2 linked regions of the Stegostoma tigrinum genome follow. The protein of the gene in region 1 interacts with the protein of each later gene in a pairwise test. Links are inferred from orthologs where the notes say so. Each region holds a gene or a part of one and is shown on either strand. Other genes may lie near its edges.

Region 1 (7,822 bases):
AGCCAAAACACCATATGCTTTCTTAACAACCCTGTCCACTTGGGTGGCCATTTTAAGGGATCTATGTATCTGCACACCAAGATCCCTCTGTTCCTCCACACTGCCAAGAATCCTATCCTTAATCCTGTACTCAGCTTTCAAATTCGACCTTCCAAAATGCATCACCTCGCATTTATCCAGGTTGAACTTTCTAATTCTTGCCTCATTTTGTTCCACTTGGCTTTGTGATGATCCAAACATTACAACTCCTTTTTTTTGTTAGATTGGTTAGTTCAGTCCAGTTTCTGGTCAACTATAATCCCCAGGATATTCACAGTCGAGGATTCAGTGATGGTAATGAATTCCAATTCCGTGATAGTTAGAATCTCTCTTGTTGGAGATGGTCATTACCTGGAACTTGTGTGATGTAAATACTATTTGCCACATCAGCCCAAGCCTAGACATTATCCATATTTAGGACATGGACTGCTTCACTTCCTAAGGAATCACAAATAGTGCTGAACATATAGCAATTCCACTTCTGATCTTTCTGATGGAGAGGTCATTAATGAAGCAACTGAAGATGGTTAGGCCTAGGATACAACCTCGATGAATTCCTGTGGAGATGTTGTGACATTGAGATGACTGACCCCCAACAACCACAACCATCTTCCTTTTGGGCCAGGTGTAACTCCAACCAGTGCAGAGTTTCCCCAATTCCCTTTGATTCTGGTTTTGCTAGGGTCTTTAATGCCACACTTGGGTCAAATGCAGCCTTGAAGCCAAAGACAGTCACTCTCACCTCACCTGTAGAATTCAGCTCTTTTATCTACGTTTGAACCAAAGCAGTAATGAGGTCAGGCGGTGAACGGTCCTGTTGGAACTCAAACTGACTGTCAAATAGCAGGTTATTGCTAAGCAAGTGCTGCTTGAGTGCACTGTTGATGACACCTTCCATCACTTTATTGAGAGTAGACTGATGGAGTGCTAATTGTATTTGTCATGTTTTTCATTCTTACATCATTGACGTTGGATGTATTTGTTAAGTCTTCTCTAGTGAGTTGTTCACCACCATTCAAGCCTGGGTTTAGCAGGACTGCAGATTTGATCTGTTGGTAGTGGAATTGCTTAGCTCTGTCTATCACTTGCTGTTTATACAGTTTGGTGAGAAAGTAGTTTGTAGCTTCTTCAGGTTGATATCTCATTTTTAGGTTTGACTGGCACCAGTCCTAGCATGCTGTCCTGCAATCTCCATTAAAATTTGGAGCATAAAATTATGTGGAGCAATTATGTCAATTATGCAATGTATCCCTGAAAAATACAAGGAAATATAGTAATATCTCTGAATCTCTACAGTGTGGAAGCAGGCTATTTGGCCCATCGAGTCCACACCACCCTCCAAATAGGATCTCACCCACACTTCAGATCCTGCTTTTCCCATGGCTAATTGCCCCAACCAGATATCCCTGGACACTATGGGTAATTTAGCATGGCCACTCCACCTAACCTGCACATCTTTGGACTGCGGGAGGAAACCAAAGCACCTAGAGGAAACCCATGCAGACATGGGAGAATGTGCAAACTCCACACATACAGATGGATTAGATAGTGCAGACTACATCAAAGTATTTCATTTTAATCAATTTGCACTTGAATGGGGGAGAACTCAGAACTAAACTCGGAGACAAAACAAACTTGGGCTATTATTCGTCTGTCAATTTCTACTATCCTATTGTATAAACATTAGCATGCCAAAACTTCTTGCACATTTGATATTACTTTGTCTCCTACTTTAACAAAATTGGCAACTCATCCATTTCTCACAAATGAATGATGGTATTAAATGTCTGACGTAAAATACATATATCCTAATGCTGTACAGATTAGTTTTGGGCTTTAAGATTCAAATTTTCCATTTTCTGTGTTTTTCTTCTTTATTCTTCCCTGGGATGCAAGCATCACTGCCAAGGTCAGCATTTGTTGCCCATTCCTAATTGTATGCCAGGCCATTTCAGAAGGCACTAAAGAGTCTTGCTTTGGTCTGGAGTTTCATGCAGACTAGACTAGTTAAAGATGGCAGATTTGCTTCCCTAAAGGGCTTTAGTGAATCAAACATATTTTTAAAACAATCAATGATAGGTACATTACTGAGACTAGTGGATTTTTTTCAGCATTCCAAATTTTTGTATTGAACTTAAATTCCACCAGTTGCTGCCTCTGGATTACTGATGCAATAATATCACCACCGTGTCACCATCTTGTCCCGTGGGAGATTCTACAGAATTATTCAATGTCAACAAAAAGAACATTTATAGTTTTTTTACAGACCAATTTTGTACAAGTTTCACTGATGAGTTCTTGAAATTAACTGCTTTGGTTAAATGTGACATACTTTCTCCTTACAGGTAAACACAGTTCTATGCTTTCAAAGTTGTTTCTCAATCTACCTTGCAAATTATATGAGATAACAAGGTGTGGAGCTGGATGAACACAGAAGGCAAAGCAGCACCTTAGGAGCACGAAAGCTTTTGCATTTCAAGGCGAGTGGCATAATTAGATTGAAATGGAAATGTGCTGAGGGGACAGGATTGGAAGAAACAGTGACTTTGGCTACAACTGTGGCATTGTTCTAAAACTATTTACTTTGCTCAGGGCAAAGCCACTATTTTTTGCTCTTTAGCTTTCTAAAAGCAGAGTTGTCATGTAGTTCTGTGTGCTGAACAAATCAACAGTAGGGGACAAAAATTGGTGGCTTTGCCCTGAGCAAAGAAGATAGTAAATAGTTTTAAAACAATGCCACAATTGTAGCCAAAGTCATTGTTCCTCCCAATCCTACCCCCTCGCACATTTCCATTTCAATCTAATTATGCAACTGGCCTTGAAATGCAAAAGTTTGCAATAATTTTGTGAGATCATGAACTCCTGCCTACAGCAGAATTCCACCCATCCTGAAGAAGCAGCAATGTTGGGTAGTTGGTAGGAATATCTCTGACAGTGGTGGAAGCTGTGGTGGTTACACCATATTTGTGACAGCCTGGTACACAGACACACAGTAATGTATTCCTCCAGATCAGCAGGGTTTTGCGATTATGTCCTTATTTAGCCACTGCTGTTTAAAGACACTGCAGTCCACACAGAGTGGGGACAAAAATGGGAATAACTGTAACATTGGGATATTTCTAATCTTTGAATTGTCAGCATTTTTGCTTGTCTCAGCTGCTTTGTTTTTAATTCACAAATTTCACTAGAAATATTAATCATGTAGGTTGTAATAAAGTGAAGTGTGACCTCTGGAATTCTGAGCGGGAAACTGAATGAAACATGCTGTCTGCAGACAAATTGCTCAATTAAACCAATTGCTCTGTTTATAAGACTAGCACATGGGTGGAGTGAGAGTCAAGCAAAACACTAAGTTCTGTTTAAAACAGAGAGAGCGCCTTGAATTTTACAGGTCAATTAGTCTAACATCAGTTTGATAAAACTAATAGACACCATGATTGGTGGGCAAAGCAGGATATGGAGCATTCTATTAATGATATTATTGATTGGAGTTGGGTATTTGTTTTGGGGATATTTAAGTTTAATTGGTCATCTGCTATGGCTAGAGCAGCACGGTGGCTCAGTGGTTAACACTGCAGCAGGGACCCAGGTTTGAGTCCAGCCTCAGGCGACTGTCTGTGTGGAGTCTGTACGTTCTCCCAGTGCTCCAGTTTATTCCCATAGGCCAAAGATGTGCAGGCTAGGTGGATTGGCCATTAAATTGCCTGTAGTGTTGAGGGGTGTGTGGGTTATAAGGGGATGGGTCTGGGTGGGATGCTTCAAGGGGCGATGTGGATTTGTTGGGCCGAAGGGCCTGTTTCCATGCTGTAGGGAATCTATATAAAACAGATATTTCTGATGACTTTAATACCGATGTCATTTCTCAAAGGCATTTCCAGAACCTAAATTTTGCATAGCAATGGCTATCTCAATTCTTAAATTCTCAAATCCAAATCAATGTCCCTGAATAAAGATCTTTTACTCATAATTCAATTGTCTGAGTTTATAAGTGTCTCATATTGCCAACCTCTTCATCTCACTCAAAAATTCTGCATTGTTCCTGCAATATAGAGACTAAAAATGAACATGGCAGTCAAAATGCAACCTCACTGACCCAAATACAGATTGAGCATCCCCCAAATTTGATTTCTAAATCCCAACGTTTTGGGTTCCTTTTGACTAGCTACAAACAAACACAATGATTTTACTGAGCATTTTCCTATCCTCCACATTATGCAACAATCTGTGTTAAAAGTACAGACACTTGAGCTGCTGTTTAACATCTGCCAATGACAGCCGTGATCCGAACAACAGCAGCGACAATGAACTTCACTAACGTGCAATCTTGAATTTTTTTTTGTCTCTTTGCTAACCTTGGAGTACTGCAGAATCAACTTTGATCCACTTAACAGCAAGGTCTGACCACCAGTCACTGACAACCCAAACTGCAGGCTGTCCAAAGGCAAATGATGACGTCACTCCCTGACAGCCAGTTGTCTTGGGGGGATGGAGAAAGGATTGGCCGCTGGGATTGTGGGATGTCATGATTGGTCGGCGGCAATGGACCGTCCCAGCCGTGGCTGCGCTGGCTGATGGGAGCAGGAAAATATGGCGGATGTACCGGAGCCGTGAGTATCTCTGCGTGAACTCCGGCCGCTCAGGCCTCTCTCGCATTGACTTCTGCTCGTTCTTCTCTCGGGTGAGCATGTCTGAACCTTCTTTTATTCTCTCTTTTTTTTAGGGAGAAGAAAAGAAGGAAAGTAGAAGAGCACACTGACAAGTTAGTGTTGAATGAATTTAGCGGCCCTGATTTTCTGCTTGCGAGGTCTGAGGCTGGAGGCTTGTTATGAGCTGCAGCTCCGAGCAGTGGGATCAGTGCGGCCTCAACCTGCATCCTTATTCGTCCTAAACTCGGGAATTAACTGCTTGGAGGAATAGGAATATATTTTTTAAAGGAGGAGGAAATCTGTTGGGATTGCAATAAGTGTTAAAACATTAAATAGCCTTATTAAACATTTATTCATTGGCGTGAATTAAATTGACGTGACATGAACTAAATTGACGTGACATGAACTAAATTGACAGCTAAAAACTCCCAGTTGTGTTTTGCATCATTTGTATAGGAGACCTGATTAACGCATAACCAGTTTTAATTGGGGTAAATCTGTATTTCAGTCGTTGTCTAACTCGCTAAAGTTGTGATTAAATGTTATGTTTACATTTTTAGAAGTCGATTCTATGTGTTGCTTCTCAGCACCAAATAATCTCCTCTTCTATAATATGCAGCATTTTTTGAAATTTCTGACCCTTGTAATATTACTGAAATGTAAGAAAGAAATATTATAGGTCCTAACTGAATACCCGTATAAAAATGGTTCAAGGTAACAATCCCATGTCTTTTCAATTCGATTAGAAAGTCCCTAATTTTGATATAGTACTGTATGTATTTTGGCTCCTTTTCAATCCTGCTCCTTTATGTTATACTGGGCGCCCATGACAAATGTTTTGCTTGCATACTCATCTTTGATTGTAGCTTGTAAAGTTACAATCAGTAGTTTGTTTTTCTATTTTCTTTCCCTTGTCTATGCTACAGCACATTAGAACTATCCCTTGTTAGGAGGTTGTGGGGAATTGCAAATTCAGTGAAAATAATTTACACTTTAATTTTAGCTGGTGTCAGTGCTGCTTGTAAAATTTAACAACTATTCCAAGAAAGGATGTTTGCACCAGTTTTAATTGGGGTAAATCTGTATTTCGGTCGTTGTGTAACTCGCTAAAGTTATGATTAAATGTTATGTTTACGTTTTGGTGTTGAGATTGCTGAAAATTCCCCATCTGAGAGATTCTTTGTCTGATTTGAGGCCTTGTAATACTAAAGTAAAATTAGAGTTGTTTGAGGCTCATTCAGTCTCCATCTTTAAAGAAATGTAAATACTACTTTTGAGAATGTCTAAGACAAGTAGTTCTCTTAAATAATATTTCTAATAATTATGCTGTGTTGTGAAAACTAAATCTCTAGTTGAGTTTATTGTGTTCTGTGCAGAATGGCTGTTGATGGTGGGTATGGGGACACTGGAGACTGGGAAGGTCGCTGGAATCACGTGAGGAAGTTCCTTGAGCGTTCAGGACCGCTCTCACACCCTGACTTTGAACCAAGTACTGAAGTGAGAAACGTTGTTATAAATCTAAGTTTGGTACTTGATAGCAGCTGTGAATTTCTTTTTGCTTTTGCTAAATGTTTATGTCACAGTGAGAACAAACAACGTCGGATATCAGTAAGTCACGCAATAGCTGCTTAAATTAGGAAACCTACCACTGATGCAAAACCTCAATATTCTGTTTTGCTGTTTTTGTTTGCTGACACAAAACAACAGCTTTGAGCAAACTCTCGAGTTGCAACATCTATAAACAGTATTTCCTTATCTTTGTGGTGAAATGTAGATAGCTTGTCTGGTTTGTCAAAATCCTGCTAATGGGTTAAGTTTAAAATTCCCCTGTTTGTGGCTACAAATTGAAAGCAATCGATTTAGGTCTAAAATCTTAGTCTGTTACATTTTAGTCAGTTTCTATTTTTAATGTAAACACACGAATTTTCATGCAAAAGTTTGGAAAATGGAATTTGCTGCCATACCACAGTAATTGAAACACTGACTTTAGTGCATTTCAAGGGTCATGAGATGAGCACACAATGGAGAAAGCAATAGAATGATTGAGTAAAATGAAGAATCTAGCTGCAATTACAACTTGTTACCAGATTAACGTTGTGATGTCTTAATTTTGTACATCCCAGTTACTTTGCCTTACTGTGCAAGATCAGCTGCTTTGTAGATTTCCAAATTGCCATAGCTTGTTCCATTTAATTGGAAATATAAATACATTAATGGAAGCATTATGGACAATTAGGGACAGAACGTATGTATTTTTCAAGCAATATCCTCCACACAAATTCCATTTTGTACCGTGTGCCTTTGTTTTATCAGTGATTTGACTTCAGAGCAAATTTTCAAAGGCCTTTTTAAAATCTTAATATACCAGATCTGCTGTTTCTGTCAATAGACTGCAGTCTTTGTAGCTACTTGTAATTGGCAGTTGGGAAATGCTCATAGCTCCTGGTCATGTAGCACAGAAGAGGTCTCTGGCCTATCAAGTCGGCACCGAATCCCACTTTCCAGCATTTGACTTATAGCCTTGAATGTTAGGACCTTTCAATTGCACATTGATGTACTTTTGAAAAGTTGAGATTTTCCGAAGGTTGCAGGAACAGCAACTCATATTCCGCTTGGGAACCCTGCAGCCCAATGGTATCGATGTGGACTTCACCAGCTTCAAAATCTCCCCTTCCCCCACTGCATCCCAAAACCAGCCCAGTTCGTCCCCTCCCCCCGCTGCACCACACAACTAGCCCAGCTCTTCCCCTTCACCCACTGCATCCCAAAACCAGTCCACCCTGTCTCTGCCTCCCTAACCTGTTCTTCCTCTCACCCATCCCTTCCTCCCACCCCAAGCCGCACTTCCATCTCCTACCTACTAACCTCATCCCTCCTCCTTGACCTGTCTGTCTTCCCTGGACTGACCTATCCCCTCCCTACCTCCCCACCTATACTCTCCTCTCCACCTATCTTCTTTTCTCTCCATCTTCGGTCCGCCTCTCCCTATTTATTCCAGAACCCTCACCCCATCCCCCTCTCTGATGAAGGGTCTAGGCCTGAAACGTCAGCTTTTGTGCTCCTGAGATGCTGCTGGGCCTGCTGTGTTCATCCAGCCTCACATTTCATTATCTTGGATTTTCCAGCATCTGCAGTTC
Region 2 (7,744 bases), on another chromosome or scaffold:
GGATGGTGTCAATTTTCTTGAACATTGTTGAAACTGGTGTAGGTTGATTGGCTGTGTAGTCAACAGACAGGGTGTGATTCTTTCCCAGGTTCAGGTGTAAGTAAAGTGGCTTTATTGGTACCACCAGCCAAATGATGGGAGTTGCTATCAACAGTCATATCAAGCAACATGTGCTTAGCAATAACACGTTCACTGTATTCAGTGTGGATTTTGCCAGGGCCACTCAGTCCCAAACCCATTAGAGCTTTAGTTCAAAAGTGGTGAATCCAGAGGCGAGGTGGGAGTGACTGTCCTAGACATTAAGGTAGTAGTTGACTGAGTGTAGCATGAAGGAGCCCAAGTAAAACTAGAGCCAATGGGATATAGGGGAAAAGCTCTCTGTTCATTGGAGTGGTTGCTGGAGGTCTGTCCTTTCAGCTCCAGAACATCTCTACAGGAGTTCCTTGAGGTATTGTCCTACGCCCAACTATCTTCAGCTGCTTCATCTTTCTCTCCATCATGAGGTCAGAAATGGAGCTGTTCACCACTATTTGCAATTCTTCAGATTCTGAAGTAGTTTATGTCCAAATTCGTCAAGGTCTGGAAATATCTAGGCTTGTGTTGACAGGTGGCAAGCAACGTTCAAGCCGTGCAAGTGTCAGGCAATGGCCATCTCCAAAAAAGAGACAATGAGAGCATTGTCACTTGACGTTCTGAATCTCCCGCTCTGAACATCCTGGGAGTTACCGTTGACCAGAGACTGAACTATGCATATAAATACTGTGATTACAAGAGCAAGTCAGAGGCTTGAATCCTGCAGCATGTAATCCACCTCCTGACTTCCCAAAGCCAGTCCACCATCTACAAGGCACAAGTCAGGAGTGTGATGAAATACTTCCCATTTGCCTGGACAAGAGCAGCTCCAATAACACTCAAAAAGCTCGACACCTTCCAGGACAGAGCAGCCCAATTGATTGGCACCAGATCCACAAGCATCCACTCCCTCCGCCACTGACACTCAGTAGCAGCCCTGTGTACTATCTATAAGATGCACTGCAGAAATTCAAAGATTTTTAGACAGTATCTTCCAAACCTATGACCACTTACATCTAGAAGAACAAGGGCAGCAGTTATATAGGAACACCTCCAACTACAAGTTCCCCTCCAAGTCACTCACCATCCTGAAACTATATCACCTTTCCTTCACTGTCACTGGGTCAAAGTCCTGGAACTACCTTCCTTAAGGCATTGTGGTATAACTATACCAAATGGGCAGCAGCATTTCAGGAAGACAGTTCACCGCTACCTTGTCAGGGGCAACAGGAATGGGCAATTAGCACTATCCCAGCCAGTAAAACTTAGCATCCTATGAACGAATAGACTAAAGAATCTCCAAATAACCCATCCAGTCATTGGGATGACCCTGGGCACTTTCCCACTTAGCTTGACTGCAATTAATGCACACTATGGTTACAGCATTGCATATGTTAGTCAGTGGGCAGCAACACGTAGTGGACTGCAGTCAGAACGGGATTAAAAACAATGTGCTGGAGAAAGTGCAGGTCTGACAGCATCTGTAGGAAAAGAGAGAAAGAGAGGGAACAGTTTGAAATACTGGCCTATGACAATACCCCAAGGAACTCCTGTAGAGATGTCCTGGAGCTGAAAGGACAGGCCTCCAGCAACCACTGCAATGAACAGAGAGTCTTTCCCCTATTTCCCATTGACTCTAGTTTTGCTTACTACCTTAATGTCTAGGACAGTCTGGTACATGACTTCTTCACTCAGACCATAGAGTCATACAGCATGGAAACAGACCACTCAGTCTAATTCTTCAGCACCAACTATACACGCTAATCTGAGATAGTCCCATTTGCCAGCATTTGGCCCATATCTCTTTAAACCCATCCTATTCATGTACTCATCCAGATACCTTTTAAATGTTGTAATTGTATCAGCCTCCACCCCATTCTCTGGCAGCTGATTCCATATACTCCCCATCCTATGCATGAAAAAGTTGCCCCTTAGGTCCCTTAAACCTATGCCCTCTGGTTTTGGACTCCCTCACCCTTGGAAAAAGACCTTGAATATTAACCTTATCCATACCCCCAGCGATTTTATAAACCTCTATAAGCTTACCCTCTCAGCGTCGAAAGCTCTAGGTAAAATAGCCCCAGCCTATTCAGCCTCTCCCTTTAGCTCAAACCCTCCAGACCCGGCAACATCCTTGTAAATCTTTTCTGCTCCCTTTTCAGGTTTAACAACATCCTGGTAGTTACTGAGTTCCTCCAGCAGTGCCTGTTCTCAGTGGTTTACATTGTTATGCGGTTACACTAAGCCTATTAAGTAGATATAGGACCCGGTTTAATTTGAAATCTTGATTATCATTCCCAGTACTAACGTTCCCGTGAATTGTCGAGCTCGATCTGCATACATTCTCAATTCACAAGTTAGAGGGGGAATCCAATTGTAGAGTGAGACTGTGTTTTAAGGGGCAATGGAGAAGGGGCGCCTGTTAGCGGTACTCCGACGGACTAGCGTGTCTCCAGAAGTAGCATTATTACTAAATGCAATCAGACTGTTTTAAGCTTCGCTATGACTGGGGCTTTATTTAACTGTTGTGGAGGGGAATAAATCATTGGTGTCTCCCATATTAACAAAAAGGGCAAAAGCAATGCGGAGTATCTGGTGAAAACAGCACATTACAATTTCTGAAGAAGGGTCTGGACCCGAAATGTCAGCCTTGCTGCTCCTCTCATGCTGCTTGGCCTGCTGAGTTCATCCATGTCTACGCCTTGTTATCTCACATTACAACTGTTGTTTATGGAGATGGATGTGAAAGAATAACTCGAACCCGGTGGCAGTGATACTGGATTCTGGGAGAGCTTCTAGTGTCTGATATCTCAATGAACCTAACTTTGCCTGTGTGTGAGAGAGAGAGAGAAAGCAGCCAATGCCATTCGCTTGCCACAGGAGAGCAGGATTGCTCCTCCGGTTATACTGTATAAACGGAGTACATCCTCCTCAAAAAAAAACCCAAGGCGGAGTCTCAGCAGCAATGTGTGTGTTTTGTTTTACACACAGTTGCCACTGGAGAGGAGAGGAGAGGGGAAGGGGTGAAAATGATCAGAAGTTTGCTGACAGTGTGAGCCAGTCTGCCGTCTCGTACTAGGGGCGCCTGTTTCAGGCTGAATTTTCAAGTTCGGGCGCAAGTGGATTTCCAGCCACTTCCTGCTCCCGGTGGCCGGGCGTTTGTACCTTGTGTGGCGAGTGTAACTTCCATTCGGAACTTCTGCTGGCGTATGGCAACTTGCTGAGCGCGGAGGGAGTGGACGCCCCCGCGATAAGAAGAGGGTGAATTAAAACGCAGGTAAGGTGTTGGACCTAAACCAGCAGGGCGTATGAATGGCCAAGCATAGAGTGGGACTGTTGCTATCCTTTGGATTATTCTGCTTGCTGATGATCCAATGCGTGTATCTCAAGCTGTGTCAACGTGCCGGACCCTCAGGGGCTATGGGCTGCTACACTGGACCTGCACAGTGCAATCCCAAACTGGTTTCATCTTTTCTTCGCCAGTATATCCAATTTACAAATCTAACCACATTCCACCCCCACCCCGTCTTTTTAATCATACCTGTCACCATGTGATAAGTGAGGAGGAGCAAATTCATTTAGATTCCCAAATGTGATTCAGAAGGGAGTCTTTTTCTTTAAATTCAAAGATGCACTTTACTCACAAAAAAACCCTTGACAAACGCAGTGCATTAGCACAGAGGAAACAAAAACATTTGGATTATGGCTTCATCCAACAATCAAAGGAAGAGACTCAAGTAAACAGTGTAGTCAGTGGGGATCCATATTCGTCCTGCTCCTCTTCGGTTGAGTTGGGGTTTGGTGGGATGACGGCCAGATTTACCGAACTAAATACACGCGCTTGCGATCAATTCTGACACCAGTCCCTTCCTCCAGAAAGGGTCTCCGTTTGCAGGGTTCAAAAACAACCCATCCCCTCCACCCGCTTCTTCCCCCCCCCCCCAAAAATCCTGCTGTCGATATAGTGCGGAAATATAACCAGCCGAGCGTTTTGAGTCCAGGGTGAGATTTGACTCAGTAGGGTGAACCAAATTGTTACCATCGGGAGTAAGTCAATGATAGGAAAGCCCCTCGTTAATCTGATCCCTGAGGAACTCCCGAGCTTTCCCATTTACAGCGAGTGCCTTCTCCACGTGAGTGGGCTCTCGGTCGTTCCATTGCAAACGGGCAACTGTAGAGCGACGCCCTCTCCCTGGGCAAATAAATCATGGGGATCAAGCTGGGTTCAGCTGGGAACGGTCTTCTCTCAGCCCTGAGGCCAATGAGGGAAACGCTGGCTGCTCTCTCTGGAATACTCCCAGACAGACGGAAGGTATAGTGACAGAGCACAGGAGCATTTATCTGCGTCTGGAACAACCCTGGCTCCCTCAAACAACATCAGGAAAAACACACACAACCTGTTCACTTATGCTGTTTTAACTGCAGCTGCGGTGTCTCATTGGCTGTGTAAACTGTTTTGGTGTATCCTGAGATTGTGACAGGCTCTTTCTAAATCTAACAACCTCCACCTCACCACCGCCCCCCCCCCCACCCGCGCCGCAATGTGTGATATATAGTCCTGCCTTTTCAGAGCTGTTTCTTGAAGTATTCGAATGTGTTACCTGTAGGCAGCGACGGCATGAACTTCACTGAACAGCTTCAATAGTTTCCCCAGGCTATCAGCGAAACAGCTTTCTGCCTCTATTATCTCAGATTCTCCAGCATTGGCAGTTCCTACTGTCTCTGCCTCGAACTGTTGTTTGGGCATGTTCAGGGTCCTCACATTCTTCAGTTTTTCACGGTAAGGTAGAACGAGCCTCTCATTGTGAGGCTCAGGCCTTTTGAACCTCTAAATACCAAAAAAAAGTAGCTTCTTACAGCCAGCAAGGATTGACCTAGCTACGGTTTTTAAAAGTATATATATATATACTTCATACATTTAAAAAATCGTTATGTATATACACTTATTAAACAGTTCAGTTCTGTACATATTGAGAAGAAATAAACATTGGCGTTTGACTATAACTGCAACTTCCCTAAAGACATTTAATTAAGCAAGGTGCTATTTAGGTGTGCTTGAGGCACAGGGAAAATCCAGTAACTGAACGGATTCCCCATTGTACTTTGGCAGAAAGATCTCGGATGGCGGTTTTTGCCCACTGATACCATAGGTTCTGAAAACGTTTAAACTATCAAAGTGGTGACCAGTTGCTCGGGCTTCTCTTCTGCTCAGTTGCTGAACTTTGCAGTGTGTGGACGCTGTGTGGGAAGAGGTCAACGCTGTATGTAATCACACAAAGGTCACTGGTTTTGTTTCTTTTCCTTCTTATGCGCTATAACTTTAACCACTAGCCAGCAAGGGGAAGCAGTCGTATGAGACAAGCAACGAAGCGCTGCTCGGTGCCCTTTTACTTTGTCAACTTGAGCAATCTGATCTGCTTTACAGTAATCTACAGCGGCGGACGGTCAGTTCATGGGGACGGTCTGACTAAATGAATAGGGTATTATATCGCTTTAAATTGCTAAATTCCACCCCCAGCGTTTGTGCGCTGGCTTACTAAAAGGTCACTGCGGAATGTTTCAACTCGTGTTTGCATCATGGCTTTATCCTTTTGAAAATCATAATTGTTATTCGAACATCCATCATTTTCACAATTTGCTTGGGGCGAGGGATTAATGTTTGATGCGGATGTGTAGAATTTAATGCACACCTTTTTGTGAATGAGAGAACGATCCTACTCTCTGGAGATGAAGGGCAGACCCAAAAGATGATTTTCTTGGAAGTGCAGTTTTGCGATAGTTCATTTAAAGGTAAAAGATTCCATTTTATAGAAAGGTTGAGGTGATCTCAGGATTTCCAAAGCTCTTTCCAGTCAATAAAAACTGTAGAAGTTTATATTTTAAGATAACCTACTAGCCAAGGTCTGGCCAATGGAAATGTCAAACACAGTAGAAACAGCACTAGCTTTGTTGGTTTGGAGGAGAGCCAGAAAAAGTTGATTCCATGGGCCCCATGAGTCTGATTGTCTTTCTGAAGATCTGAAAGAGTTGGCATCATGTTGACTTCACCAAAAAGACTTTGTTTGTTTATAACATCATGGAATCTGTTTACAGCCACCCAAGAGAGTAGATGGGACTTTCACTTAATGTTTCACATGAAGAACACCATTCCTTTTGCAGTACAGTGCTCACTCATCACCGCAGTGGGGTGCCAGTATAGAGTGTGTGTCAAAAATTCTGTCGGACTAGGCCAGAATGGTGGCTCAGTGGTTAGCACCATGGACCCTGGTTTGATTCCACCCTCGGGCAACTGTCTGTGCGGAGTTTGCGCATTCTCCGTGTCTGTGTGGGTTTCCTCCGGGTGCTCTGGTTTCCTCCCACAGTCCAAACATTTGCAGGTTAGGTGGATTTCCCATGCTGAGTTGTACATAGTGTCCAGGGATGTGCAGGTTAGGTGGATTAGCCATGGGAAATGCAAGGTTACAGGGATTAGGTGAGTCAGGGGGTGGGATGGGGAATGCTCTTCGAAGGATGGACATGGACTAGATGGGCTGAATTGCCTGCTTCCACACTGTAGGGATTCTATGATTTACTCATCTAATCCAGTTTTAAAGATATGGGTGTCTCCTACCCCTCATCGGACAATATGGTATAATTTTTCCAGCTGCAATTATTTACAAAGGAAAGTAGTCACGCTTTATATTCTGGTGAACAGCCTATGGGGAAGTATTATCTACTTTCCCACTCCCTGGATTCTGCTGAATCTGCTGTATGATTCCACTGCTTAGATTTTAGATTTCCAGCGAGGATAAGTTTATTTCTGAAAGTTCTCCTGTGCATCCAGCTTACTTCTGATATTTTATTTGTGGTTTGAAATTGAACTTGGCCTGATGACTGCAACCTCATTCTTCTGAATAAACTGGAGCTCTGTCTGCAAACTACAGTAAATCGGTGTTTCACAGTAACTATTGTTATCTTATGGTGCATTCATTTTACAAATTTTTTTTAAACAGCCTCCATGTAATAGAAGCAATCCAAATTCAGTACCATCACAATCTTTTGGATGCTATGTGTGCGACAGCAGCAATGAATAGTCTGTCCACAGTCTCATGCTGTGCCAGCTGCAGAATCGTTGTAGCTGGCCTCTTGCCACCAGATTTTTACATTTACACTTTGTGTAGAACCACTGGGAAGTATTCAAAAAATTGGCACTTTTGACTGGCAGTTTTGCCCTGAGAAAATTGCAGTTGAATATAATATTTTCAGAAACATGCAGTTTCTTATTGTGTAAATGTAAAATTGAATTTTTTGAAGTTTCAACTTTTTTTTCCAAACAAAATGATTTGCTTAACAAAGAATAGAATTGCTCAAGTGCACACCGATCAAGAGAGTCTTTGCTTTGCAAACTGTTGTACACAGTAGGGTAAGGTCATAATGTCACATATGATTCCACCTACAACATTGAACTGCATTATTTCATCAAACTACACAGGTAGTTATGGAAAAAAGAGACCGGAAATGATCAATTCATTTATACTTGGTGCAATTTCTACCTACATTAACATCCAAAGCCCCAGAAGAGACAAAGAAGAATGGCTTTAGCAATACTTGCAACTGTTGAACATCTGACAAAAAGTAGGAAAATACACAGCAGGTCAGGCAGAATCCATGGTGAGAATAAAAATTCTCCTTT

Evidence for each region.
Region 2: the proteins of uba3 (region 1) and cpne2 interact in binary tests that used the Homo sapiens proteins (3 or more experiments, as listed by UniProt). The two-hybrid records come from large-scale screens. The link is inferred for Stegostoma tigrinum from reciprocal best matches to the Homo sapiens genes UBA3 and CPNE2.

What each region holds. Positions count from the first base shown.
Region 1 is NC_081364.1:43,405,579-43,413,400, forward strand, and holds the start of uba3 (NEDD8-activating enzyme E1 catalytic subunit), read left to right. Parts: upstream 1-4,573; 5' UTR 4,574-4,626; coding exon 4,627-4,646; exon of another isoform or gene 4,647-4,717; intron 4,718-4,759; coding exon 4,760-4,798; intron 4,799-6,061; coding exon 6,062-6,182; intron 6,183-7,822. UniProt on the Homo sapiens protein: Catalytic subunit of the dimeric UBA3-NAE1 E1 enzyme. E1 activates NEDD8 by first adenylating its C-terminal glycine residue with ATP, thereafter linking this residue to the side chain of the catalytic cysteine, yielding a NEDD8-UBA3 thioester and free AMP.
Region 2 is NC_081369.1:15,690,217-15,697,960, forward strand, and holds the start of cpne2 (copine-2), read left to right. Parts: upstream 1-4,721; 5' UTR 4,722-4,852; intron 4,853-7,744.